4 linked regions of the Stegostoma tigrinum genome follow. The protein of the gene in region 2 binds, or shares a complex with, the protein of the main gene of each other region. Links are inferred from orthologs where the notes say so. Each region holds a gene or a part of one and is shown on either strand. Other genes may lie near its edges.

Evidence for each region.
Region 1: rnf113a (region 2) and plrg1 share a complex: the UniProt entries of both Homo sapiens proteins name them as parts of the minor spliceosome. The link is inferred for Stegostoma tigrinum from reciprocal best matches to the Homo sapiens genes RNF113A and PLRG1.
Region 3: rnf113a (region 2) and sf3b5 share a complex: the UniProt entries of both Homo sapiens proteins name them as parts of the minor spliceosome. The link is inferred for Stegostoma tigrinum from reciprocal best matches to the Homo sapiens genes RNF113A and SF3B5.
Region 4: rnf113a (region 2) and snip1 share a complex: the UniProt entries of both Homo sapiens proteins name them as parts of the minor spliceosome. The link is inferred for Stegostoma tigrinum from reciprocal best matches to the Homo sapiens genes RNF113A and SNIP1.

The regions. Positions count from the first base shown.
Region 1 is NC_081354.1:53,942,211-53,949,542, forward strand, and holds the start of plrg1 (pleiotropic regulator 1), read right to left. Parts: upstream 3,021-7,332; 5' UTR 2,884-3,020; coding exon 2,875-2,883; intron 499-2,874; coding exon 392-498; intron 1-391. UniProt on the Homo sapiens protein: Involved in pre-mRNA splicing as component of the spliceosome. Component of the PRP19-CDC5L complex that forms an integral part of the spliceosome and is required for activating pre-mRNA splicing.
Region 2 is NC_081384.1:39,857,364-39,865,138, reverse strand, and holds the start of rnf113a (E3 ubiquitin-protein ligase RNF113A), read right to left. Parts: upstream 3,005-7,775; 5' UTR 2,971-3,004; coding exon 2,859-2,970; intron 1-2,858. UniProt on the Homo sapiens protein: Required for pre-mRNA splicing as component of the spliceosome. As a component of the minor spliceosome, involved in the splicing of U12-type introns in pre-mRNAs. E3 ubiquitin-protein ligase that catalyzes the transfer of ubiquitin onto target proteins.
Region 3 is NC_081362.1:94,717,927-94,725,411, reverse strand, and holds sf3b5 (splicing factor 3B subunit 5), read right to left. Parts: upstream 3,012-7,485; 5' UTR 2,895-3,011; coding exon 2,634-2,894; 3' UTR 343-2,633; downstream 1-342. UniProt on the Homo sapiens protein: Component of the 17S U2 SnRNP complex of the spliceosome, a large ribonucleoprotein complex that removes introns from transcribed pre-mRNAs.
Region 4 is NC_081377.1:12,589,301-12,596,565, forward strand, and holds the start of snip1 (smad nuclear-interacting protein 1), read right to left. Parts: upstream 3,018-7,265; 5' UTR 2,987-3,017; coding exon 2,747-2,986; intron 1,577-2,746; coding exon 969-1,576; intron 1-968. UniProt on the Homo sapiens protein: Required for pre-mRNA splicing as component of the spliceosome. As a component of the minor spliceosome, involved in the splicing of U12-type introns in pre-mRNAs. Down-regulates NF-kappa-B signaling by competing with RELA for CREBBP/EP300 binding.

The sequences.
Region 1 (7,332 bases), on a different chromosome or scaffold from region 2:
TATAAAAAAAACTGGACATGGAATACAGAGAAGTGGCATGACAATACAGCAGAGTATGGATGCCACATGTATGTAAGTTGATGGGATGCCTGCAGACGATATTGCTGATCCTGGGGAGTCGTGTGGATTTGGACAACAGAGTGAAAGCTGTGCAGGGTCATAGTAAGAATAAACAAGTTATTACAAATAAGAAGTGGTCTCAGCAGACAAGATGAAAATATGGCAATGGGAAATAACACAGGTTGAAGTATTTGGAAGTATTATATGCCAGACATAAAACACTTGAGGCTTTGACACTGGCTGTAATGAAGCTGGGCCCCTTGCATTGTATCTGATGAGATACTCATTCTGTAACCAACTATTACGAGGCAAGCTCAACTAAAGCACTCACCTTTTCTCATCTACTGCAATAGGTTTAGCATGATCGCTAACAAACATGTCGTGGGTTCTTTTCAGGGATCTGAACACCAGTGTGTGTACAGAATGTTTCTGCACCTCCTGCCAAAAAGAAAAAAAACAATTTTGAATTATGTATGAACTTCCAATTCTGTAACAACTAATCAAATAATTAAATTGAACTAAACAATGACATAGTAGGTGGAATTGCTAAACAAAATACACTGATCCTTTCTATATTTCCACATTTCAACATGCCATGTAACCTTAGAAGATATCCTGCAAGGCACTTCAAGAAATGTTTTCATAGGGCCAAGTGAAACAGTATGTCAGCACAATGACATTTACTCTTGGAAACAGAATAAAACACATGAATCGCCATATGACACGTGCAGGGCAGTTTCTAGTGACAGTAGGCCCAAATCACAAAACACTTCCACCTGCCCTTGAAAATGTTTCACAGAGGAAATTGGTATCCACAATTGGTGAGAATGGCAGTCATCCTGGAGACCAGACACCATCAAACCATTACATTCTCACTTTCTGGGATTCTGTTGTTAAAGTTAAGCATGCTGGAGTAGTGTCAAAAATAGCTTTATTCTTCTCCTGATCATCCTGTAGCTAACCTGAAAATGCTCAGTACTATCACTGGAGTGTTCTAGGGCAATTGAAATTCATTCCCCACCACTGACTTTCTTGACTTTAACAAGCACTACATACAATTAAAGCACAGAAACAAAACACATTGCAGCTCATAAGAACACCAGAAGTAGGAGAAGGCCTTATCGCCTCTTGAGCCTGCTACACCATTCAATAAGATTATGGCTGCTCTGATCTGGGCTCATCTCATTTCCCATAACTCTTGACCCCACCATTCTGTAGTTCAAGACTGTATCTCCACCCTGAATACAGTCAATGATTTTGAATCCAGAGTGCTCCTCAGTAGAATATTCGAAAGAGTCACAAACCCCTAGAGATAAAACCTCCTCATCTCTATTTTAAATAGCTGTTGCTTTATTTTGAATATTCAGCACTTTCAAGTTCTCTCATGACAGTAGACTGCAGATGAGTAACAGTGTACAATGCAGGTCAACTGAAGACCTAAAACTTTATTCCACTTCATATGTTGTCTAAAATAATTGTAACTTTGTTTGAAAAGTTTCTAAACTTTTAAGCTTTAACGTATATATCTTCTGTGAAGGAAACTAAAATTCAATGCTCATTTCATGTCACCACCTCGTGTTTTGTGGTAATGACTACACATTTCTTATCAAGCATATAATTTATAGCTATATTTATACCAAGTCTTCTGTCAACTTGTTCACTAAAAGGTTGTTATCCCTAATTATTACATGGGTATATTAAAGTTGTTCAATAATAAAACACCAATTAACAAATTGATGGAATTCACAACTTAAGTTTCAAACATACTGCAGCAAGATCAGAAAAGTTAATTGGAAATGGTACCAATGGAAAGTCTCCCTCATAATGAAAAATTTACATAGTAGGCTAGTAGCATAAATTTTCCAGAATTTTGACAGTTTATCTCAGGATTACACATTTGAATAGTCATGGAGTGAGAAAATTAGAAATTACACAGGAACAGGAAATTCATCTCATATAGATGCCCTTCCATAAAATGAGCAGTTCTGATTGTGCACCCTAATTTCTATTCTAATGTATTTTCCTACATGACTTTGACACTTTCTCACAAGTGCCCATTCCTAATTAACATTTATGGTGCCTACTTTATTGAATACTGTATTACATAATTTTATAAGCCTCCTGTAAGTCATATCTTCCACTCTCCATCATTCCGCACATCTCAAATATGCAAAGTTACCAGCTACTCCGTTTCATCTCTATAAATTCTAAACACTTCATTGACAGTCCACGCGTTCCTCTATATTAACAAAGATAGGTTGGAATGTTTAAGTTTTATCACATATACACGGGCGTACAAAACAAGACTCATTGAGACGAATTCTAATTTGCAACGAGAAACAGATAAATGGGGAGGGGGAGAAAAGAAATCGCAACAGCAAACTTTCCGTAATTATACAACTGATTAAAGCCAAAAGCTGAATAATTTAGAAAGGCATGCAAGATAAGAGGTCACTGCATCTTTATTCCTTTATTGTTTTTGAATGAACAAATGCCAGCTAGTAAGGGACGGTAAGCAAGTTATACTGTACTTAACCAGCATGCATTTTACTTTTACTATAAAATGGGAACTTTGTAGATCACGTCAACTTCCTTTCCTTCAAACAGGAAAAGCTTCCCCAACATCATCCTTTTCTATTTCCTTCGGCACCTGGAGAGGGGTCCACCCTCTTCCTTGCTTTATTGTGCGGGGTAGGCGGCCAGGCCGGAACGCTCAGACCCAGCAACTGGCGGCTCAAAGGCCGACAGCCCGAGAACAGTGACACATCCACACTCCCTCCTACTGAATCCTGAACATAACCCAAAGACGCCCACCTCCACCATAGCTGCAACTCGAACCGCTTTTTAAAAAGCGGGCTCCAGATCCCAAGCAGAAACCGCCGCCCTCCTGAGTGACCGGTCTCCCCAATCGCAACAGCAGCCTTCACTTCCCAACCGGAGACGGACGGATAACAAAGAGAAGCCCTGTCATGCGATTGTCTGTCCGCCAGCGACAGCGCCACTTACTCCGTGCGGCCGTACACCGTATCAACAGCCACGGAGAGTAGGAATTGCCGACGCTGGAGTCTGAGATGACAAGGTGCGGAGCTGGGGGAACACGGCAGGGTAAGCAGTTTCTTCAGAAGGGTCCAAACCCGAAACGTCAGCTTTCCTGGTTCTCTGATGCTGCCTGGCGTGCTATTCCTCCAGCTCCACATCTTGTTATCACCGTATCAACAGTGCTGCAGGCTTTCGGCTGTACCTATTTTCAAATGAGTTCTTAACAGGACTTGCAGCATGCCACAATATGATACTATAGCAGATACATTATTCTGAAGGTTCCAGTGGGCCAGGGATAGTGTCCCCACCTCTCGACTAGAAGGCTAGAGTTCAAATCTCTGACTCCTGAAAAATGGCCACTGTACTCGAAACATTAAGTCTGCTTTCTCTCCACAGATGCTGTTATAAGGTAAGATACAGGAGCAAAATTCGGCGTGAGTCTGCTCCGCCGTTTGATCTGCCCCGACCTGCTGAGTTTCTCCAGTAAGTTTTATTTCAATCCTACTTGCTCCAGATTTGTGTCATAAATGCTGAACAGTTAGACTTTAAAATATTAACAATTTCTCCCACCCCCAACTCTACCCCCCCCCCCCACTCCAAACAATGGTCAGATAGTTAAGAGAGCAAAGCAAACGGGACTTGCACGGAGACCATACAGTATGATCAGTGCAGCGGCCTCTGAATTGTCTGGGAAGTTGAATTTCCCAGGAATAATTGTCTCCCCTTGGAAATGTCAAAAAAAATCTTCCAGACTTGTGAGAGCTCATTTAAGCTTAATATTCACTCAGGAAATGGTAGATTAAAAACCCATGTTAAAGCCTGACTATTAAACTTAGCCCCACAACAACAACACTGCAACCCCTGGCATACCTCACACCCCCACCCCAGCACAGCATCTACCCCAACTACTGAATGCCACTAGGTCTAACACACCCATGTCACACAATGCAACCACACCCCACTCTCTGCCAGACTCGACAGCTCCATGGGAACCAGACCCAACTCTACATCCCGTCCTGAACCGGTCCAACTCTTAACAGCTCTGGCTCCACCCTGTGACCCAACCCTGATGGACCTGACCCTATATTCTCTTGACACAACCTGGGCCTGACCTCTAGCCCACCTGAAATATCTCAACTCCTGCTGGACCTGACTCAGTTTTAACTTCCGAGTAACCATTTAACAGACCCCTTTCTTACGTACACATCTCTGAAGGCACTTTTACCAGACATCTTACACCTGTCACCTGCCCCAGGACCTGTACGCTTTTCTTCAGATCCAAACCTGACCTCCTTCCTGCACCAGAGACCTGACCTGACACCTCATCACCTGTCAGCTGACATGCTCTCCCTTCCTTTCTGCCAGACCGGACAAAATCTGAGCCCCATGCCACAACAACCCCCTCATGCTCTGAAACTGGACCCACACAAACACACCACCTACCTCCTGACTCACTTCCTTCCCATCTGCTACTGCAGCAGACCTGACCCCCCAACAGTTGGACCTGACCCATTAACCTCCTGTGCTAGAGCTGACCAAAACATGTTTGCTTGCTTGAATTGATGGTAACTGCCAACATAGAGAGTGTGAGCCTAAAAGTCTGCTTCCATATTATACTTTATATGTATTTCTATCCCATTTCTAGCGTCAACCCTATTTTGTTATTCTCTATTTCGTGGAGAATCCTAATGTTAGTGCTTCCTGAATGTTCCTCTCTGTTAATGATAGACTCCAAAGACAATCCTACTTTCCAATATCCAGTCTATATCAATTCAAGGACTTATTTCAGTTTCCAATTGCACTTATTGTGCCTGAGCTACTGAAACATCACTCTCATTATCCAAGGCCAAGGGCTTGGTTTTGCTCTGTTGGCTGGTCTGTGACCTGGCGATGCGTTTCAATTACCACAATAGCTGAGGCTACTATGAAATATTCTTCTTCCCAACCTCTCCCCACACCTGAGATGTGGTGACCCTCCACTAGTTGTTTCTGCCCAGGAGCACAGCAACTTTTACCTTTAATGCAAGGTTAATGCAACAAATATTCAAATGTTTCATCTTAGTGATGATATATGATCATAAAGTACACAAACTCATGGGTGTAAGACTTCAGAGACTGGCAAGAAATTAGGCTCTGCTGGTTGTGGAGAAAGGGCAGGGAATGGTTCTCAAAGAAAATTAGCCTTTCAAGGCTCAATCAGCATGGAGGAGGAATGGCAGATCGACTTTAAGTCAAGATTAAATCAAGAGTACTTTTCTAATTTATTACCTAGCAGAATTTCAAGAGCTCTCACATTATTTACATCGTGGTTTAACATTTATCATTTTTAATTTTGTTGCTTCAGCTACTTAGAGTGCAAAATGTAATCATAAAGGAGGCTAATGAGCTCATTACATGTTTGTCAGCTCTTTTGAAAGAATTATCGAAGTAATGCCACAATCACATTCTTTCCCAAAATCATAGCAATTTTATTCAAGTATTTATTCAATCATTGGCGCATCAAGTATATCATCCCTTTTCAGTGCTAAACAGTGTCTTTGATCAAAACTGCCACCTCTTCCTTTCTTTTGAAATACCAATAAAAAGAACATAATCAGTCTAATATTTCCTGTAAAATATCTTTATTGATCAGTAAAAGGCATGCATTCTTTCTTCAAGCAACGAACAAATTGAGAAGATCATTCATAACAGCTGGGAATCAGACTGAAGATGGTTTCCGTTCCCTATTGATTTGCTGCAAAAGAAAACAAATGCTCTGAGTTTTCAGACAGATTGTACTGCATCTACCAAGAGCAGTAAAAGTTGCTGCCTCAACAATGTAGGAAACAACTTCACCCTTAACCAATGTCAAGGAAATAGTTATCTGGTTATTTGTCTCACTGTTTGGGACATCTTGAGGTCACCAGAGATGCTTTATAGATGCATTTTATCTTAGCTCTTCTACAAGAGTGAAACTAATACAGTCAGCATTATACTATAGATCAAAGAGGTTTCCTCCCCTTATGTTTTCAGTTACCTTCTCTTCAAGTGCTGCTTACAATCAAAACTATAGCAGTCCATTTATTCCTGTGTTCCAATCAATTTTAATTTATTGCCTCACCAAATGTTGAGAAAGCTAAGTATTTAGAATAGTGTGTCACTGGAACGTTTTTGTAAACAAAATTCTCTTATGCTGTTAGTTATATAGTGTTTCAATTGCCTTTACCATATATCCCCATCCATATTTCTTTAACTAGGAGTGCATTTACAGCGAGTCAAAGTTTAATCTCAAGTCCTCCTGTAATGTGCAATCCTGATGGTTCTTCAGGAACTACATAATGAAAATAAAAGGAGGAGGCTGTTACTTCAGACTCCCTGGGTATCTTTTGGTTTCAGCATCTAATTCTCATCCATATGCTGTCCTTCAGTAGCATCACTCAAAGACAAACCATCAGGTTCTAAGTAAACATGAATGACCCCTAATTCTGCATCTCTACCAATTCTGTCAAACCCTCCACCTCCTCTATGTTGTCATAATGTCTGTATAACATGCAGTTTCAAATGAGTTTTGATTCATTGTAGAAAACACCACTAAGACTGAAGTCATTGTTTTCAGCCTTTAACATAACCTCTATTCCACCATTTTCAATTTCAATTCACTCCAGACCACTCTTTCAGGCTGAAAGAGATTGTATCAAACCTCTATGATCTACTGGATGCACGTGAACCTCCACCTTTATCCTTTCTAACACAAAACCAGCTATTCTCACCACTTTAACTTCACCACGTGTCCCTGCCTTCAAACCCCTACAGCTAAAACACTCACCATACCTTTATTACATCCTACTCCAGTGCTCTTCTGGCCAGCCACCCACTGACCACTCTCTCCAAACGTGAGCTCATCCCAAACTATTCTGCAGTCATACTAATGCATAGCAAATGGGCTCAACAGCAGGGCTAGAAAGAGAAATCCTGGTCCTGCTTCTGTTTCTAGGCCCCACACCAACATGAACTTTTCCTTTCATATCCTTTTTTAAGGGCTACATTTTGACTTTCAGAGATTACATTTTGTTTACAGAGAATATTTTTCATTCTCGCTAACTCATTTATTAAGTGATGCAGTCATGTAGTAACGATTCCTTCTATGTATATATATGTTGAAATTTGCATATTTAGATACACATTGAAGCATTCTTAGAAGAATTCATAAATCTACCCAATCAACCATCTATTAAACTCAAAGCTGTAATACAC
Region 2 (7,775 bases):
TTGGTGCTGAGCCTTCAACTATTTACAATCTACTTAAGGACTTGGATGCAGAGAACAACTGTATTGTAGTTAAATTTGCTCATAATACAAAGACAGGTAGGAAAGCGAATTGTGAGGTGGGTACAAAGAATCTGTATAAGGATATAGGTAGGTTAAATGAACAGCAAACTGTAGCAAATGGAGCATATTGTGGAAAAATGCCCACTTCGTGAGAAGGGTAGAAAAGCAGATGATTATCCAAATCGGAGGGACAATGCAGACTGTTGTAAGGAAGGATCCGGTGCCCTTCCAGATACAGGAGGAAGTGTTGCTTCAACTGTACAGAATGCAGATATGAAATCACACCAAGAGGACTGTACACAGTTTTGTTTCCTTACTTAGGGAGTCAAGTGCTTGCATTTAAAGACGTTCAGAGAAGGTTCATTAAGTTGATTCCTGGGATGAAGAAGTTCTGTTGTGAGGTAAGGCTGAGGAGGTTTGAGCACTAAGAGGTGATCTTATTGAACTGTATAAGATTCTGAAGGCACCTGGCAGAGTAAGAGGCTAAGAAAATGTTTCCCCCTGTGGCAGAATTTACAACTAGTGGGCAGAGTTTAAAAACGAAGTGTCTCCCATTTAAGATGGAGAAGTGGAGAAATATCTTCTTGAAAAGGAGGAGTAATCTTTGGAACTTTCTTCTACAGTGCGCAGTGGAGGCTGGGTCATTGAATACATTCAAGGTTGTACCAGATAAATTCTTAAACTACAAGGGACAAACAAGAAACTGGAGTGCGGCCACACCAGATCAGCCTTGTTCTTACTGAGTGGTGATGTGGACTGAAGGGGCTGAATGATCTACACCTGCTTGCATAATACATGATGGCAAGTCTCCAACTTTAACATATGAACAAGGAACAGCAGGCCTGTGGGCCCTTGAATTTGGTTCGCCATTCAAAAAGATCAAAACCACAAGTTCACATTCTCACCTACCCTGATAGATTCTTGGTAAACCAGGAAAGATTATCTAATTTTGCCTTAAAAATATTCAGAAGATTCTTCCTGAAAAGGTGTGGCAACAGAGTTCCAAACACACACAACCCTCAAAACAAATTTCACTTCACCTCTCCTTTAAATGGTCAAGACCTCATTTTTAAATAGTTGCTCTTAATTCCAGTTTCTCCCAGAAGAGAAAACATCTTTTCCACATCCCTCAGGTGCTTACAATCTTGTGCATTTCCATCAAGTTGCCTCTTAATTTCAACTCCAGGAAACAAAAGGTTATCCTGTCAAACTTTTCCACATAAGCCAACATCCCCAATTGCAGATATCAGTCTGGTAAATATTCTGTAATTTGCTTGCACACATTTATATAGGAGCAAAATACTGTAGATGCTGGAGATCAGAAATAAAAATAAACAGCACTTGATAAACTCAGCAGTCTGGGGAGGTAAATAATTAATTTTTAAGTGAGTATGATTCTTCTTCACATTACAAACACGTCACGCAGAACTGGAACAGTTAACAGTGTTTCTCTCTCCACAGATGCTGCCAGACTTGTTGAGTTTCTCCAGTGCTTTCTATTTTCACACAACACACAAAATGACCTTCGGCTGGCTGAACACTAGGGAAGACACACACTCAATTCTCAGAGAAGATTCCATTTCTCCTGTTGCTGCCTTCATCTTGTGATAAAGCAGCATCGTCTGCACTGAGCAAAAGCTCGTAACAGAGGATTCTGACCATCTTGGATGTAAATACCTAGAAACTAAATTAAAGCAGTGGCGAAACTCTCACGAGCACTAAAATATAACCTTAACAAGAGAAACTGGAATGTCTGCCACTGTAAGTCAACATTAAACTGTGATTCCAAAAGAAGGCCAATATTAACTTTGTCACTTTGTCTTTCCGACAAAACATTAAATTCTAGGTGTCTAAGCTCTCAGGGAAAGACAATAGGTTCCTCTGCACTATGAGAGGAACAGCAAAGTTATTCTCCCCGGATTCCTGACCAACATAGGCCCCTCGCTAAATTAATGTTACTGAAACAGTTGATCTGTTTATTATCAGTTTATTACAAAATGCCGTGTGTGGAGATTTTCCTGTGCATATGCATCCCCCCCGCCCAGACTCCAGCCTCAGTGCTTCCGATTTTACAACAGTGAATTCCAGTAATTTATTAGCCTTGATGCTGAAGGAAAAAAGCCTGTGGTCTTGAAAGGTGGTACTTAAATGCAAATTACTTTACCTCTGTCAAAGATCTTTTGTCAAATCAATCTTCCTCATTGAGGGGCTTGGAGATAAACCCAGGACAGCAAGCGGGTTTGTTGAATTTAGCATCACCACATTAGAATGCACTTTAATCAGTGCGATTTGTTGTTGAGGATGAAACCTGGAAAGGCTGGGACTCTTTCCCCTGGAGGGTAGGAGATTCAGGGGTGACTTTATAGAGGTTTTATAAAATCACGAGGGGACGTAAATAAGGTGAATGGCAGGTGTCTTCTCCCTAGGGTGGGGGATTTCGGGACCAGGTGGCACATTTTTAAAGGTGAGACGAGAAGGATTTTTTAAAAAAAACAATTTCTTTACAAACAGAGAGTGGTTCGCTTGTGGAATGAATCTCCTGAGGATGTGGGGACAATTACAATGTTCAAAAGACATTTCGATAAGTATATGAACAGGAAATGTTTGAAGGGATATGTGCCAGGAACAGGCAGGTGGGACTGGTTTACTTTGGGATTACGGGCAGCACGGACTGGTTGGGCTGAATGGTCTGTTTCCGAGCTGCATGAAACGGCGCCTGGTGAGAACTGCGCTCCGTTTTAAGCCCGAGCGGAGACACAGCCGGAGAATGCGGCCCCTTCCTCCCTCCAGGTCAATACCTTTGTCACTAGCGCTCGCCCTCCGCTTCCTTCCTTTAAATTTCCTGCTAGATTTTTTAAAGAGGAAAGTACAGACCGGGGCCGTCTTCCCCGCTTCCCCGGACTCCGCCATCTTAACAACAATACAACATCAGCAGCAAGCGGAGCCCGTGCAGCCCCTGGTGGCTCCATGTGGGAATACCCACAGCGGCCCCAAGTGGTTCAGAGCTGCATTGCACACAGCGGCCCCCAGTGGCCTCGACGGCACTGCACACAGCGGCCCCTGGTGGCTCGGAACGACACTGTCCTCTGTGACTTCTGTTATTCACAGAATGGAGTGAAATTAAATGATTGAGATAGGAGGAACTGCAGATGCTGGAGAATCCGAGATAATGCGGAGTGAATGTGGATGAACACAGCAGGTCAAGCAGCGTTAGAGGAGCCGGAAGTTCGGGCCTAAACCCTTCTTCAGAAATGGGGGAGGGGAAGAGGGTTCTGAAACAAATAGGGAGAGAGGGGGAGGTGGATAGAAGATGGATAGAGGAGAAGGTAGGTGGGGAGGAGACAGACAAGTCAAGGAGCCAGGGATGGAGCCAGTAAAGGTGTGTAGGTGAGGAGGAGAATTGTTTTTGTGCAGAAGACGGCCATTGTGTCTGACTGGCTCTCTGAATATTTTAATTCAGTGCCAATCTCCTGCCTTTTCGCCATAACCAAACTCATTGTTTAAACTTAAACTCAAATTTGTGCACTCTTGAATGCTCAGTTACACTTCAGGACATATATATTCAGACCTAAGTCATCTAATTTTAAAAAAAATCCATAGGATGTAGGCATCGTTGGCTGTGTCAGCATTTATTGCCTGCCCCTAGTCGCCGCTGAGAACTTGGTGGTGCTGTGCATTCTTGAACCACTGCAGTCTATGTGCTGTACGTAGACCTACAACACCATTAATGAGGGGTATCTTTCTTAAATATTACCAGAATTTCAGGCTTGAATATCTTTCCAGTCAATGAGTCTCAGCTACCACTACCCCATGAAAGAAAAAAATACAATCTGGTAAAGATTAATGTTAAGTCAGAGGATCGGGAAAGTTTTAAACATCATCAAAAGAAAACCAAAAAATAGCAAGAAGGAAGAAGATAAACTGAGGGTAAACATGCAAGTAACAAAAGATGAAGAACAAGCACTTCTTTAAATATTTAAATTGAAAAAGAGAAACCAGTGAGGGAGGCAATAGCCTAATGATATCAATTTGGATCCAGAAACTCAGGTAATGTAGGGATGTGGGTTCAAAGTCTGCCATAGCGGATGTTGGAATTTACATTCAATGGAACTGCTCTTGTGAAATTATTCACAGTTAGATTGTTAAGTAGAGGTAGATGTTTAATTAGTAAGGCAGGAAAATGGAGATGAGGATTGTCAGATCAGCCATGTCCTCATCAAATGGCAGAGCCAACTTGATGGGCTGAATGGCCTCCTTCTGCTATTATGTGTTATGACCTCAACCCTCCACTTAGCTAGAGTTAGTAGGAACTGCAGATGCTGGAGAATCTGAGATAACAAGGTGTAGAGCTGGATGAACGCAGCAGGCATCAGAGGAGCAGGAAGGCTGACGTTTCGGGCCTAGACCCTTTTTCAGAAATGGGGAAGGGCAAGGGGATTCTGAAATAAATAGGGAGAGAGAGGGAGGTGGAAAGAAGATGGATAAAGGAGGAGATAGGTAGAGAGGAGACAGACAGGTCAAAGAGGTGGAGGAGGAGCCAGTAAAGGTGAGTGTAGGTGGGGAATTAGGAAGAGGATAAGTCAGTCCAGGGAGGATGGACAGGTCAAGGGGGCGGGATGAGGCTAGTAGGTAGGAGGTGGGGGTGGGGCTTGAGGTGGGAGGAATGGATAGGAGGGAGGCAGGACAGGCTAGGGAGGCGGGGATAAGCTGGGCTGGTGTTGGGATGCGGTAGGGGGAGGGGAGATTTTGAAGCTTGTGAAGTCCACATTGATACCATTGGGCTGTGGAGTTCCCAAGTGAAATATGAGGTGCTGTTCCTGCAACCTTCGGGTGGCATCATTATGGCACTGCAGGAGGCCCATGATGGACATGTCGTCTAAGGAATGGGAAGGGTTGTTGAAATGGTTCGCGACTGGGAGGTGCAGTTGTTTATTGTGATCTGAGCATAGGTGTTCCTCAAAGCGGTCCCCAAGCCTCCGCTTGGTTTCCCCGATGTAGAGGAGGCCACATCTGGAACAGCGGATGCAGTATACCACATTGGCAAATGTGCAGGTGAACATCTGCTTAATGTGCAAGGTTTCCTTGGGGCCTAGGATGGGGGTGAGGGGGGAGGGTAGGGGCAGGTGTAGCACTTCCTGTGGTTGCAGGGAAAAGTGCCGGGTGTAGTGGGGCTGGAGGGGAGTGTAGACCAGACAAGGGAGTCATGGAGTGAGTGGTTCCTCCAGAAAGTAGATAAGAGTGGGGAGGGAAAAATGTCTTTGGTGGTGGGGTCGGATTGCAGATGGCAGAAGTGTTGGAAGATGATGTTGTCCTTGTTGATGGAGCTACTGGTCTGTGTTGCTATTTCCTCTAGTAATATGGGCGCTGTTTCTTCGGCTAGTGGGATGTCAATTGATGTGAATAAAGCTGTGACGCCAAAGGATACCATAATCTAGTCGCTGATTTTTATGTTTTTGAGGGTATCAAGGACATCTTGTGTTGTGTGAATAGAATGAGGTGATCTATCTACTAAGTGTTTCAATCTCTGTTGTAGGTTTTTGGCCAGTTTATGTGAAGGTGTCTTGGTCAGGAAACAGTGGGTCTGAGAGGGATGTCTGGTTTATGTACGTTAGGGAGTCCATAGAAGAGGGAGGGGGTGTTTGTGCCTGCTGGTTTCATTCTCATGAAGTCTGTCTTGGTTATCTGCCCTGCATTCATTAGTAGCTTCAGTGCCTGGCTGATCCGATTACTGAGCTGTGGTGTTGGGTCTATCGCCACCTGTTGGTAAGTGGTTGTATCTGCAAGCAGTGTCTTAGCATTCTTAACGTAGTCTGGTTGTTTATGATAACAAAGTGTAGAGCTGGATGAACACAGCAAGCCAAGCAGAATCTTCCTGAGATGCTGCTGGGCCTGCTGTGTTCATCCAGCTCCACACTTTGTTATCTTGGATTCTTCAGCATCTGCAGTTCCCATTATCTCTGGTTGTTCATGATAATGGTCATGCATCCTTTCTCTGCTAGGATTATGATGTTCTTGACTTTCCTGAGTTTATATAGTGCTTTTCTCTCTGTTGTGTTCAGGTTGTCCCCTTTGTTCCTTCTGTGTAGTGTGGCGATTTATAGTTTGTCGGATGGCTTTTTTAGATTAGATTCCCTACAGTGTGGAAACAGGCTCTTTGGCCCAACAAGTCCACACTGCCCCTTGGAGCATCCCACCCAGACCCATCCCCCCATAACCTACACACCCCTGAACACTACGGGCAATTTATCATGGCCGATCCACCTAACCTGCACATCTTTGGACTGTGGGAGGAAATCGGAGCACCCGGAGGAAACCCACGCAGACACGGGGAGAATGTGCAAACTCCACACAGACAGTCGCCCAAGGCAGGAATCGAACCCAGGTCCCTGATGCTGTGAGGCTGCAGTGCTAACCACTGAGCCACCGTGCCGCCCAAAATCAGCCCTCTTCAATTCTCGGACTTGCAATGACAAAAATGAGACTGCCTGAGGCTGAACCCTAACCGGGGCAGGAAATAGGCTGCACCCAGACTTGAACTTGGATCGCAGGGCTCAGAAACCAGAGTACTGACCACTACACCAGAGCACCCAGGGCTTGTTGTGTTTCCTCCCTGAGGCTGTTGTCTTTTAATGTATTCTCCAGGGCAGCCATGAAGCCTGTTCTGTTCGCATCTTTTGTGGTTATAGTTCAGTCCGCGTAGTAGGACAGCTTTCTCCGTTTCTGTGAGTTGTCTGTTAGATAGGTTTCTTCTCCATGCATTTGGTTTGTTGTTGTCCTTTTTGTGAGGAGTCAGTTTGGTCAGTTTCTCCTGCAGCTTGTGTCCATTCTTAGTTTTGGTTTTGTGTTGATTGATGGTGATGGCCTGTTCTAGGTGTAGTCCATTGTTGGTCCATTGAGTTTAGATACTGTGATTTTTGGTGCACAATTTCTCATTCGTACCTTTGGAGTTGGTTATGGGCATCATTAATCATTACACATAGCATTCTGCATCCATTCTATTCAGCTATTTTATATCCTGTGGTTTGTTGAGTGGAGGTTTGTATTTCACGCTGTGGGGCAGTACCTGGTTCCTGAGATGTTTGTGGAGGAAGTGAAGTTGTTCACATGCAGACCTCAGTTGATTGGTAAAGATTTCCCGTTGTCTGGCAATTTTTAGCATGTTACGCCCATAATTGTTTAAAGTTTTGGTGAAGATCTGTAGCTCAGACATTTCATCACCGTGCTAGGTGACATCATTGGTGGAGTCTCCGATGAAGTGATGTTGTTCTACTCCACTTAGAATTTATACTGTCTGGTCTGTTATGGTGAGTTGTCATTTCTGGTTTTGATCTGTATGGGTTTGTATATGGAGTCCAATTCTATTTGTTTATTAATTGAAGTATGGGTGGAGAACCACGCCTCTAGAATTCCCGTGCGTGCCTATGTTTGGCTTGGGCTACTAATGGCTACCTTGTCCCAGTTAGACTGATGGCCTTCACTGTCTGAGTGTACCGAAATTAAGGAGAGTTCTTCATGTCATTTTGCTGTTAGCTCTGGCCATGGGGGAAGTGCCAGAGGAATGGAGAATGGCTAATATGGTTCCACTTTTCAAGAAAGGTTTTAGAGATGAACCAGGAAATTACAGGTCGGTGAGTCTCACATCGGTGGTAGTGAAACTATTGGAGAAAACTTTGAAGGAGTGAATTAATAACCATTTGGAAAGGCATGGGTTAATT
Region 3 (7,485 bases), on a different chromosome or scaffold from region 2:
TAAAATTCTCTGCCTCAGAAGGTGAAGTAGGTTAGGGCTATTGAATGTTTTTAAGGCATTTTAGATTTATGTTCGGCAAGAAGGCTAAGGTAATTGGGATATTGAGAATGTAAATGAATGTGTGCAAGAATGGAACAGCTCAACCATGATTTTTTGAACAGCAGAGCACATTTTGAAGGGCCAAATGGCTTATTTCTGCTTCTAATCCATATACATATTTAAAACATACACAATAAGGACAAAAGATTGTGTTCTGTAAATTCGGTGCTCTTTGACCGTGACCATCTATTTACCTAGTTATCTCACATTTCAGAGGAACAAAAAATCAAAACAACTAAAGTATTAAAAAAAACTGTCCATTTATTGAGCCACAGATCAGTGTAATGGTATACATTTAAAGCAAAATATTTTGTTTCTCCAGTTTAAACCAAATTGTTTACGAATTACAGTTTGTACTGCCCAGCAAAAACAGAACAGGAATAAACTGGCAACACAAAAAAGGTACAAAACCTTCCCTTCTGAATAATGAGACATTTTCTAAGTGACCTAGTCATGGTTGAGCAGGTTTCTGATTTTGCTGAACAATCGCTGCTAAAACATTACTCCATTCACTCGCAAAAATCCCCTGGAACATTATCCAATAAATCACCAAGTTTTAGGAAAATCACTTGATGGGTTTCTCTTTATTTCCAAAATTTCAATCCTTCTAAAATCAGTAACATTCTAAGTAAATTCCCCTTAAATAAAAAATATAAAGCTGCCATGCTTTTATCATGCATGGGTTTCAAGGAATCTTTCTACTTTGTTGACAACCACTTATCCAAACACTTGCCAACATAATGGCTTTTTCTATAGTTCAGTTGTTGGGGAGAGGTTATCAACGCTCTCTGTAGATTCATATAGTTTTACTCCGTACGGCACCCCATATACCATTTACGATGCAATTCATTCTTGGGAGTTTTTCCGTGCAGCAACCATCCGTGTGAACATTGGGTACTTCTGTAATCCTTCTTTAAGATCTATGTGACAGTAGTGGGCTTCGGTTTCAATATCAGCAGCAACCTCCTAGGTGAAGTCAAGCAGGGAGCTCCTCACTGATGGAGGTGTATGGAGACCATTCCATTTAACTGGGGAAGAAAGCAGATAGTCTTTGTAAGATTCCTTTCCTCGGTTGCTCAAGATTATGTTGCCAAAGTGAGTGCAAATCACAAGTAATTCACTGGATGGGTGTTCAGAACATCTTGAAACAGTGAAATTTCCCTTCTGTTGACAGTGACAAAGTTTCACTTGTGAGAGCAAGTCAGATGGACTGGCCATTTTTACAGTAGACTTTTTGTGGCCAGTGACCATTTTATCTATAAAGTAGTTCAGTTCAACAAAAAAGTCATTTGCTTTTGTAAAGCAAGATGATATTTCAGATGAATAACAAAAGTTTAAATCAAATGCATGTCCTTGTGCTGGCAGAGCCCCCAAGAGAAGTGTGGACTCCCTTGCTGCTGGAGCAAGATGGGTGGTGGATTCCTTTGCTGATTGTAGAGCGGAAGAGGGTGGCTGAAAAACGACCTGACTGGCTGGGGAAGGCAAAGGTGGATCCACTTAGAGGGGGCCAGGTACAGTTCTTCAAGTCATATTGGATTTAAAATATTAGCTGTTTCTCTCCCCTTAAATATGGCCAGATCTGCTGAGTTTCTCCAGCATTTTCAGTTTTAGTTTCAGATTTCCAGCATCCCACAGTATTTTGCTTTCATTTGTGTACAGGAATGATGCCATTTTGGAAGCGGATTGGATCAATCCCTCAGTCATTGACAACGACTTTGGATGTGCTGATGGCAAATGGGAGGGCCAAAATTCAAGTCCAAGTTTTGGAGGGAAAATGGAGCACAAATAACATTTGTACCCTAAACTCTCATCACTCCTCTTCAATAGCCATAGAACAGCTCATCCTCATAACCCAGCCTTCACAGGTATGCACTTCTGATCCAACCATCCAAGTCTCTTTTGTACTTCACCTATATCTCCCTTCAATCACCAATAGGCCACTTACTTCACCCAAATCCCTCCTGTTACCCAACTGTCCAGCCACAGCCCAACCTCTAAACATCTCACACTCCCCCAGCCTACACCTGTAACCATCCCATTTATGGTATCTTTCTTATCCTCCAACTGTATACCCCATACATGGTCTTCTTCCTCCAACAATATCCACCACATACCTCCACACATATTGCAATCACACTCCCCATATTCCCTCCTTATCCTCCACCCATGTCCCTGCACCTAATTACACTCATTACCATATCTATACCCCAAAAATCCACCAGACATCAATACTTATAGCTCCCAAATCCTCATTCCTCCCCACATACTCACTTGTATCTTCCCAATTCCCACTATATCCCCTTCACCCAACCACACTTATACCACACTCCACTCCCTTCACCCAGTCATACCTATACTCCTCCCATCCCCATTCCCACCCCATCCCATCCTTCACCTATCCACAGCCATGCCCCCCAATCCCCTTCACCTATCCACAACCCTACCCCACATCTCGTATCTCCATATCTAATCCTCACCCTTCGCCCACACCGCACCCCAGCAACCCCCCCCCCCCCCCCCCCCCCAAGGCCCTCTTAGGCCTCCTCGGGCTTGTCGGGCGGGGGCCCACACGGCTGTAGCATCTTCTCCATGAGGTTGAAGCGGACTCGGGCCTTGGTCTCGTTCTCGGCCACGGCGAAGTAGTTGAGGAGGTCGAAGTGGCCCATGTACGAGGCGTACGAGTCGCGGTGCTGGTTGACGAGCCACTCCCACTTGGTGGTGTCGGCGTGCCCGGTGCCGATGTACTTGGACTGGAGATGTTCCAACTGGCTGTGGATGTTGTAACGGTCCGTCATCGCGGCTCCGGCTCTCCGCTTGAAAAAAGATTCGAATCCCAACCGTCAACCGCCCGCCGGAGGAAACCTAACATGGCCGCCGTTACCAGGGTTACCGCCACGTGGCTTTCCGGGAAGCTGCAGGTACAATTAAATGAAAGTAACCGTTCGGGACGAAATTGTGATTTTGTCTCATGTGAAGAGAAATCTTGGTAAATTAGGGCTATTAAAAATGTTTACACGATGTTGCGCAATCGCCTGCGTTGGAGCTCCGCCCCCTACCAGGCGACCTTTACAGTTATTTTTTGGAATAAAAAAACAACGCTTACCGAAGAAATACTGACAATCGTATGCTTGGTTCTGACATAAAACAATCGGTTCTTTAACAAATCGGCGTTATTAAATTGATAGACATTGACGCGCAGGCGCATTGGATGCCGGGTTTGAGGCCCCACTGATGCTTTTAGCACCACCAGGTGCCCCCTAGATCGGAGGACCGCTGCTATGTGGTATTGCACTCTCAATTTATTGCATTGCAGCGACTAATTTTGGTCCATCGCCAGATACATGGAGTAACAATAATAAATAAAATAAAATTTCAGTTAGTGATTTTTATAGAATCCATAAAGTACAGAAAGAGGCCATTCGGCCTATCGAGTCCATAAGACTATAAGACATAGGAGTGGAAGTAAGGCCGTTCGGCCCATCAAGTCCACTCCGCCATTGAAATCATGGCTGATGGGCATTTCAACTCCACTTTCCTGCACTCTACCCATAGCCCTTGATTCCTTGTGAGATCAAGAATCTGTCGATCTCTGCCTTGAAGGCATCCAACGTCCTGTCACCACGGACCCTCTTAAGAGCACCCCGCCCAAACCCATCCCCTTACCCTATCCCTATAAACACGCATTTTCCATGTCTAATCCATCTAGCCTTCAACATCCCTGGACACTATGGACAATTTAGCAAGGCCAATTTATCTAACCTGCTCATCTTTGGACTGTGGGACGAAACCGGACCACCTGGAGGAAACCTACGTAGACATAGGGAGAATGTGCAGACTCAACACTGCGATGTCCCTGGTACTGAGAAGCAGCAATGCCAACCATTGTGCCACCCTTGATCAGTATCATGAATAGGCGTACCTACATTGGTGCAATAAAGAACTGCCACTCGTTTGCAATAAAAATCAAACCATCTTCAGCCACTTCATCAATGACCTTACCTCCATCATAAGGTTAGAACTGGGAATGATTGCACAATGTTCAGCACTGTTCACAACTCCTCACTTCTAAGCAGTCGGTGTTCAAATGAAACAAGATCTGAACAGTATTCAGGTGTGATCTGACTAGATCTAGATAAAATCTTCAAAACGCCATCAAGGATGCCAAGAGACAACACCCGAACTAAACCAGAGGTCCCAGATTAACCACAGAAACACATGTTGAATTTGGCAAGACTTACATGATTTAAGGGGCGACAAAGCAAAGTTGAGTACAATTTCTGAAAGCAATACATTTCTCCCCAGTGAGCTCATTTTAAACAACAGGTTAGTGAAATGATGTCATCTGTCCCGACGATCTCGGGATCACCTGTACTCACAGTCACCACTGCAGATGTCAGATCAGTGGCAAATTTGAGGTGATGCGTTTTGGAAGATCTAATTCAAGAGCGAACTATACAGTAAATGGAAAAGTCCTGGGGAAAATTGATGCACAGAGAGATCTGGGTGCTCAGGTCCATTGTTCCCTGAAGGTGGCAACGCAGGTCAATAGGGTGGTCAAGAAGGCATATGGCATGCTTTCCTTCATCGGACGGGGTATTGAGTACAAGAGTTGGCAGGTCATGTTACAGTTGTATAAGACTTTGGTTTGGCCATATTTAGAGTACGGTGTACAGTTCTGGTTGCCACATTACCAAAAGGATGTGGATGCTTTGGAAAGGGTGCAGAGGTGGTTCACCAGGATGTTGCCTGGTATGGAGGGTGCTAACGATGAAGAGAGGTTGAGTAGGTTAGGATTATTTTCATTAGAAAGATGGAGATTGAGGGGGGACCTAATTGAGGTCTACAAAATCATGAGGGGTATAGACAGGGTGGATAGCAAGCAGCTTTTTCCCAGAGTGGGGGATTCAATTACTAGGGGTCATGAGTTCAAAGTGAGAGGAGGAAAGTTTAAGGGAGATATGCGTGGAAAGTTCTTTACACAGAGGGTGGTGGGTGCCTGGAACGTGTTGCCAGCGGAGGTGGTAGACGCAGACACGTTAGCATCTTTTAAGATGTATCTGGACAGGTACATGGATGGGCAGGGAGCAAATGGACACAGACCCTTAGAAAATAGACGACAGGTTTAGACAGAGGATCTTGATCAGCGCTGGCTTGGAGGGCCGAAGGGCCTGTTCCTGTGCTGTCGGTTTCTTTGTTCTTTGTTCTTTGTGTCCTTGAGAGTTACCCCCTCAGAAAATGACTGGTGCATATGGGGTCCCTGATTGTGAACTGAGATCCTGCACAGACCAGCTGGTGGGATTATTTGCAGACGTCTTAACCTCTCCTTACTATGATGTGAGTTCCCACCTTCTTCAGGAAGATGACCATCATCCTGGTGCCAAAGAAGAATCAGGTCATGTGCTTTAATGACTGCTGCACTGATTCTGACATCCATCATCATGAAGTGCTTTGAGAAGTTAGTAATGGCTCACATCAACTTCAGCCTCCCAGATTGCCTTGGCTCACAACAGTTTGCCGACTGTCACAGAAGGTCCATGGCAGACACCATCTCCCTGGCCCTACATTCAGCCCTGGAGCATTTAGATAATAAAGACACCTACATCAGTCTCCTGTTAATTGACTTTAGCTATGCCTTCAATACCATAATTCCAACAAAACTCATCTCCAAGCTCCAAGATCTAGGAGTCTGCTCTCCCTTCTGTACCTGAATCCCTGACTTCCTGACCTGCAGACTGCAATCAGTGAGGATAGGTGACAACCCCTCCACAATAATCCTCTATAGTGGGTTGGACCTCACACAACAATGAGACAGAGTACAGGAAGGAAATAGGCAGTTTAGTGGCATGGTGTGGAGACCACAATCTCTCCCCCAATAACAGCAAAATGAAAGAGCTGGTCTTCGACTTCAGGAAGCAGAGTGGAGGGCAGGCAACTGTCTGTATCGATGGCGTTGATGTGGAGGTGGTCGAGAAGGTCAAGTTCTAAGAGTAAATATCACCAATGATCAATCCTCATCCATCCATGTTGATGCTGGCCAAACAAGCAGACCAACACCTCTGTTGCTTCAGAAGGCTAATGAAATTCAGCATGTCCACAATGACTCTTACCAATTTTTATAGAAGTACCATAGAATGCATCCCAACCAGAAGCGGCAGAGCTTGGTATGGCAACTGCTCTGCCTAAGCCTGAAAGAAATTATAGAGAGTTGTGAGAGTCAAAGTCGTGGTTCTCCTTGTCCATCTTTGACTGGGACAACACCAAGATGCTGGGACAGGTTCAGCAGAGTCAAGCACGAAAATTCCTGGAAGCCTGGCACTCCATGGCACTCCACATTGAACTTGACCCCATATACATTCTACTGCGGAGGAAACCCGGAAGTGAGGCAGTTCATCGCAACGGAACCCAGAGTTTAAAAGCCAGGCGGGAAAACACACACTGATGCTTCATCAGAGGCTGCACTGAGGATGTTACCCAGCACGGTAACGAAACATCTGCAGAACAACAAACCAGCTCAGCGAGCCAACCAACCTCAACACCCACAACCCGAGCTACAAATCTACTCCAAAACCTTAGATTCTGGTGTTATCATTGACCAGAAACTGAATTGGACTCACAACATAAACATAGTGTCTACAAAGGCAGGGCAGACACTTGGAACACTGCAGCCATAACTCATCTCCCTAAAGTCTATCCACCAGCTACAAGGTACAAGTCAGGAATATGCTGGAATACTCCCCACTTGGCTGGATGGGTGCAGTTCCAACAACACTGTCTGGTGAGTGACACCCACATCCCATGATTGAATGGAGAAAACGCACCCATTAGACCTCACCTGGGGTATTTGTCAAATTGGCACTGTCCTGCAGAAGCCGGTGTAGAATCATAGAATCTCTACAGTGCAGATCGAAGCCATTTGGCCCATCGAGTCTGCACAGACCCTATGAAGGGCACCAGGTGGTTATTTGGATATAAATAGTATGGGCCTATGGGAAAAAGGCAGCAGATAATGACGTGATAATGGGAACTGCAGATGCTGGAGAATCCAAGATAATAAAGCGTGGAGCTGGATGAACACATCAGGCCAAGCAGCATCCCTGTGCTCCTGAGATGCTGCTTGGCCTGCTGTGTTCATCTAGCTTCACACTTTATTATAGCAGATAATGATGTTTGTTTGAGGAACAGGTGCAGGCATGATGGGCCAAAATGGATTCTTTTGATGTCACAACAATTCTGTGACTTTACAGTGTCATCCTATCGGATATAGGCCATTTGGCCCTTTGAGTCTATTCGGCCTTTCAATGGCTTATCTGGTAATCCTCAACTCCACTTTCCTGCCTTTTTGATTCGCTTACTGAATGACAGTCTGCCTGTCCCAGCCTTGTATGT
Region 4 (7,265 bases), on a different chromosome or scaffold from region 2:
CATTAACTTTGTTCAATCCAGAAAAATAAAATCAGATGATCAATGCACGCACTAATTTTAATATTACACCTAAGTACTTCCCTCGAAGTACCAAAGGGTGTTGGCAATACTTTCAAAACGGGATTCAGAGAGAGAAAAGGGTAACAGACAGCCGAAACACTTTTGGACCGGACTGTGGAATAGGACAAAAGCTATGGCCTATCAAACACAAAAGTATCAGTCTATAAAATCCACTCACTTATAAAGTATTTCAACATATTTAATGCCCTAAGACAAACATTTCCATAAATATTGCCTGCTTCCCATTTACTGCTCCACCCCTAAAACTGTACTTGTTAAATCTACAAGAACTGCAGTCGCGTTTATTAAAATACAACAGTGACTATGTTTCAAAATTGCTCGACTGGTTATAAAATTATATGCAATGACCCAAGACCAGGAAAGGTGACTTGGGAACATAAGGTCTTTCTTTAGCTCCAGGATATAAATTAGATTTTGGCAGCTGCTTGCCCGAGACACTTTCCCTGTCCCAGGAAACATCAAACCCTTTACAGGTACTGCTCAGTGAGGAATCTATCACTGTGACCACAAGCTCATTTCTTAATGGGATGTTTGTTTAGTTTTTTTTTCTTAAAGTAGTTATTTAATATTAACAAACTGCCTTTCCGGGGAAGACTGCTGAACATCGAGGAAATAAAAATCATTTTGCAGTCTACTTCCTATAATAGAAATTGGGAGAGAGAAACCTGGACAGCAAATAAAAGAAAACCAATCCTACAGGAGAAGGGTGGCAACCAGGAAATCCAATGGGATCAGCATCAGACTAACCGATGTCAGAACAATGCAAAGTTGTCATTTAAGGGAGCACAGGGAACCATTCAACCAACATGTCCATACTGGACCCTGCACAGCAATCCAGTTAGGTCCACTCCCCACAGGCTTACATTAATAGCTTTTTAAACACCAACCTGTATTGTAGCACTGCATGTTGCTTGGAGCAGGAAGGATGGTCAATTGGGATATCCACGACCCTCCGCTGTCGGCCCAAGAGATAGGCACTCTGACGATGAATGTGCATAACTGGAAGAGGCTCATCATTCTTGAACGGATAAAGCCGCCATCGTTTCCTTGGGATCCGGGACTCGGGCGGTTCACAGTATTTTATCACCACTCCACGAAAGGTGTTTGTGTCTTCCACGAGGGCACCAGAAAGCTCAAAATTTGGCTCCTCTTTCACCGGGGCTGTGTTGCCACTATGAGCTTGGCTGTTATTTGACTCAGAGGCAGGATGCTCATCACTGAGCAGGGGACACTGATTGCGGTTTTGACGCCTTCTCTCATTGTAGTACTCTCGCTCGGCCTGCTGAGTGCTGAGGAGCTGAGCCTCCCTGTCTCGGCCACTTGTACCACCTTCTGTGTGAGAGCTACCATTCCTTTTGTTGTGGCCTCGGCCCCGGTCTGAACATTCTCTGTGACGCTCTCGGTCACTGTTCTTCTTGCGCCGATGCCCATTTCTACTAGAGTGGTCTCTGTGTCGTCTCTCAGCATGATCCCGTTGAGAATGGTCATGCCGTTCCTGAACGGAATGAGAAAAATTAAATTTTGCATGCCATGGCATGGCCTGAAATTATGAGACAATTGGTATAAAAACTTCACATGGTAACTAGCGGAGATTATTATTTCATCATAGAATTATAAAATCCACACAGTGCAGATAGAGACAATTCAGCCCGAGTCTGCACCAACATTCCGAAGAGTCAGAGATGCACCAGATCCACCCCCCCATCCTATCACCATAATCTCACGATGACCATGACCAAGCCATCTAGCCTAACCATCCTTCAACAGGTGGGGCAAATTAGCATGGCTAATCCTTCTAACCTGCACACTTGGACTGTAGGAGGAAACCAGAGGGCCAGGCAGAAACCCACACAGGCATGGGGAGAATGTGCAAGCTCTACACAAGGTTGGAATCAAACTTGGATCACTGGCACAGGGAGGCAGCAAGGCTAACTACTGTGCTGTGTTGCCAAATTAACTTATCCGTGAAATACATGAACTGGAAAGCTAACTATAAACTATTGTATTTAACTATCACATTAAACCTTGTGGCTTCACAACAGAACACAATTCACATCCAGGGTGATCATTTTAACTTTTAACCACTAAAACAGGAATCTAGAATCAAATTTAATCACAACTAAGGAGGCCATTCAGCCAGATAGCACCTTCAGAGGGCTATCCAATCAGTCCCATTCACCAGTCACAGTGCTGCAACTCATGTCTCTTTTGAATCATTCAGTTTCCTTCCAAAAAGTGAAAATCAAATCTGCTTCTGCTACCCTGTCAGGCAGCGCTTTTCGGCGTATAAGATCTCACTCTGGATGAAAGGAAATTTGTATTGGTGTCTTCGCCAAACACCTTTAAACTTGTGTTCTCTCATTCAGGTCCCTTCTGCTGCTATTAACAATTCCTCATGCACTTTAATGGAACTTTTTAATAATACTTCACCTGCCTCTTCATTGCACCAAATTCCCCTCCTTCCTGCGCTCACCGAGGAACTGAATTTTCACTCACACACTCTCTTTAGCAATGACACTAGAGTGAGATTGACGTGAAAGTTAAATCCTCTTCCTCAGTTATGATGTGGCTGAATTGGGGCTGCAGTTCCTGTCATGCGAGGGAACGGTTGCTGCAGTAATGATTTGTGTTTTATTATTATTACCGGCTTGACTCGGTAACTCACCCGCTTCAACTTGCCCCCGGGCCGTGAATGTTGTTGTTGTTCGGGTGCCGGCTTCCTCCGGGCCGGGGAGCGGCTCTGCCAGTGCTCAGGTGGAGAGACGCTGCCCCCGGAGGAGCCCGAACTCGAGGGCCGGTGCTTGGGGCCAACTGCCCCCTCTCGCTTGATCCTCAATCGGTGGCGGTCGGTCGCGGGCCCAGGCTCGGGGCTGTGCCAGGCCCGGCGGCGGCCCTGAGCCTCCATCTTCCCGGCTGTGGCACCGACCCGGAACAACACTGCCGGCCAGCGAATAGAACACTTCCGGGGTCACGTAGCAGAGGTGAGAGATCAGCCAGCCAAGGCTCTTGGCTCCAACCTTGGACAGGCAACTGCAGAATGATTCCCTCCTAATATTAGATTCATGAATCGCTGCATCACCTCTCTCAATACACACTGCTCCAGAGATGCTTGCTGATGTTTTCTTGTTATTATTATTTTTATTTGTTCTTGCCTGTCTCCAGTGCTCCTGCTGATTTCTCAAACCCATTGGGCGCTAATGGTCTCAGGGTTGCAACTAGACTAGAACTTGGCCTGCTGTGTTCATCCAGCTTCACATTTCGTTATCTTAGAACTAGGGGGATACAGTTTAAAAATTAGCGGACTCGTATTTCAAGTTAGAGATGAAGAGAGTTTATTTCTCTTGTCAGAGGGTCGGATGTCTTTGGCAATCTCTTGGCAGGGAATGGTGGACGTGGGATTACCGAATATTTTTGAGGCAGAGTTAGATTCTTAGCTGACAAGTCAAAGTTTATTTAGGGGTGGTTAGGCACAGCAGTGGAGGTGAGGCCGCAATCAGGTGAGGCATGATATTATTTGAATGGCAGAGCAGGCTTGAGGGGACAAATGGCCTACTTTAGCCTATAATTTCTATGCACCTAACAGGGTGACCAACTCGGGTTAGGAAGAAGGGAAATTTTGGTACAGGTGACTGTCCAACTGGGCTGGGGGATGTTGATGAGCCAGTGGGAGGTGCATTATCCACATCTGCAACAATTAGGCAGCACAGTAGCTCAGTGGTTAGCAAAGCTGCCTCACTGCACCAGGGATCAGGGTTTGATTTCACCCTTGGGTAACTATCTGTTTGAAGTTTGGACATTCTGTGACTGCATGGGTTTCCCCCAGATGTTCCGGTTTACTCGCACAGTCCAAAGATGTGCAGGTTAGGTGGATTGACCATGGGAAATGCAGAGTTACTGGGATGGGATATGTCTGAGTGGGATGCTATTCAGAGGGTCAGTGTGGACTTGATGGGCTGAATGGCCTGCTCCTGCACTACCTGGATTCTATGATGAAAAATGCGGAATAAGGACTGTTCTGAAAACAGCCAATCCGGGACAAGGGACAATCTGGTCCAAAATTGAATAGTCCAAAAAAATCCAGGAAATTTGGTCACTGTTGTAAACTGAACACTCAGGTTCAGGACAGCAAACAGAAATATACGAAAGACTGAAAGGGCGAAAGTTTCTGCCTAAAAGTTTCTCATTCCCCCAGTTAGACTGGTTAGCAAGGTTAGATCATGTGGAATACAGGAGAACTTGCGATTTGGATACAGAACTGGCTCGAAGGTAGGAGATCGAGAGTGGTGGTAGAAGGTTACTTTTCAGACCGGAGGCCTGTGACAAACAGTGTGCCATAAGGATTAGTACTGGGTCCACTGTCCTTTGTCATTTATATAAATGATTTAGATGTGAACGTAGGAGGTATGTTCAATAAGTTTGCAGGTGACACCAAAATTGGACAACCAAGGTTACCTCAGAGTACAATAGGACCCTGATCAGATGGGCCAAGGAGTGCCAGATGGAGTTTAATTTTGATAAATATGAGGTGCTGCATTTTGGAAAGGCAAATCAGGACAGGACTTATACACTTAATGGTAAGGTCCTGGGGATTGTTGCTGAACAAAGATACCTTGGAGTGTAAGTTCACTGCTCCTTGAAAGTAGATTCACATGTTGACAGGATAGTAAAGATGACATTGGTATGCTTGCCTTTATTGTTCAGCGCATTCAGTACAGGAGTTGGGAGGTCATGTTGCAGCTGTACAGCACATTGGTTAGGCCACTTTTGGAATGCTGTGTGCAGTTCTGGTCTCCCTGCCATAGGAAGAATGTTGTGAAACTTGAAAGGGTTCAGAAAAGAATTACAAGGATGTTGCCAGAGTTGCAAGGTTTGAGCTAGAGGGGGAGTAGACTGGGGCTATTTTCATTCGGGCGTTGGAGGCTGAGGGGTGACCTTATAGAAATTTATAAAAATCATAAGGGGCATAGATAGAGACCTATTGGGCAACTTTTTCATGCAGAGGGTGGAGCATGTATGGAATGAGCTGCCACAGGAACTTGTGGAAGCTGGTACAATTATGACTTTTAAAAGGCATCTGGATGGATATATGAATAGGAAGGAGTCAGATGGATATGGCAAATACAGGCAAATGGGACTAGATTAATTTAGGATATCTGGTCAGCATAGATGAGTTGGATCCAGCTCTATGTACACCTGTACAATTCTTTGACTCTACTATAAACTAAGATGCTGAAAATCTCTCAGGGCTATATGTATGGCACAAAATATATATTGTAATTATAAATGTTGATCGAATGTAGTGAAGCACCCCTGGATAAAATAGCCTTTTCAGTTGATTCGCAGATTCTCAAGCAGTCTGCAATTTCAGTGGCTTGGATAGACTGGGATATCTTTCCCTGAACCAAAGGGGGCTGAGAGGTCTTTTATAAAGATTTTTAAAATCATGAGGGGCACAGATAAGGTGAATAGCCAAGGTCTTTTCCCTTAGGGTAGGGAAGTCCAAAATTAGAGAGCAAAGGTTTAAGATGAGAGCGGTAGAGATTTAAAAGGGACCTGAGGAACAACTTTTTCATACAGTGGGAGTTGTGTATATGGAATGTAAGACATTTGGACAGATACATGGATAGAAACGTTTTAGGGTCATATGGGCCAAATGCAAGCAAATGGGACTAGCTCAATATAGGAAACTTGGTCAGCATGGAGGATTGGGCTGAAGGGCCTGTTTTTGTGCTCTGTGCCTCTATAAATTACCTTCTGGTAACAACATACTGTGTTCACACAGAACCTTTAATGTAGAAAAATGTTCACAGAAGCATAGCAGGAGAAAAGAACATTGATGCTAGACCAAAGAAATATGATGCAGCAAAGGAATAACTGATGCTTTATCCAAGAGACTGTGTTTTATACATGTCACACCACACTGGGACACATGCTACAAATCATGGCTTGCTATTTCTAGAGTCATCACAAAAGTTGACAATTTTATCAAAGTACACAAAGTCCCAAATTTACCTGTCTGACAGACTCAGGTTAACATAAAATATGGATCCGTTTCTGAACCTACCAGGAATTACTATTTACTCCAAATAAATAAGTTCTCTGTCTGTCTCTTTGTAGGATATGCTGAACATTCCTTGCTCCTGTCCCACTCAATCTCCCTTCCACAGTTCTTTCTCTAGTACATTGATAATGTCATCAGGACTGCTTCCTGCACTCATTAAGAATTGGAAACTTAACCCGTTTTGCTTCCAACTTTTGTCCTCCTCTCACCTTCACCTGGTCTAACTCTGACTCTCCATTTCCCTTCTTTGACTTCACGGGGTTTCTATTTCTGGAGACAAGCTGTCCACCAATATCCACGATAAACCCACCTCATCCCATAGTTACTTTGACTACAGTTTCACACCCTGTTTCCTTCAAGGATTCCATTCTATTCTCTCAGTTTCTCCATCTCCGCAGCATCTGTTTCAATAAAGCCATCTTCCACTGATGTGTCTCCAAACTTTTCTCATTTTTTTCTCAGTCGAGAATTGCCCCACAACATGGTTGACAGGGCCTTCAGATGTGTGTTACCCATTTGCTGTCCTTTTGCCCTCACCACTTTGCTTCTCTCACAGACAAAAAGATTCCCCATGTTGTCACTTTGCACACCACCAGTCTCCACACTGAGGAAATTCTCTGCCATTTCCACCACATCTAGAAGGATGCCACCAACAAATTCTTCTTCCCCTCCCCACACTTCAGTGTTCCGCATGGACTGTTCCCTCTGTGAACTCTGGTTCACTACTCAGAGACTCCTTACACACCATCCTCCCCGCAGGGCACCTTTCCATGAGGTGCTTCTTGCCTTGATACCTCTCCTCTCCTTACAGTCTTACACTCCCTAAGATCCCAAACACATTTTCTAGGTGACATATCATTTCACTCATATTTCTTTCATACTAGTCTACTGTCGTCACTTCTCACCATGTGGCCTCCTCTAAATTAGCGAGACAAAATGCAGAATGGGGAACCACTTTACAGATCAGCTCCACTCTGTCTATAAGAATGACCCAGACATTTCAGTTGTTTGCCATTTCAATGAACTATCTTGTTCCCATTTCCATCCTAGGCCTGCTGTAGCATTCCAGCAAAGTTCAACACAAGGTGAAGAAACAACACCTCATTTTCCACTTAGGCACTTT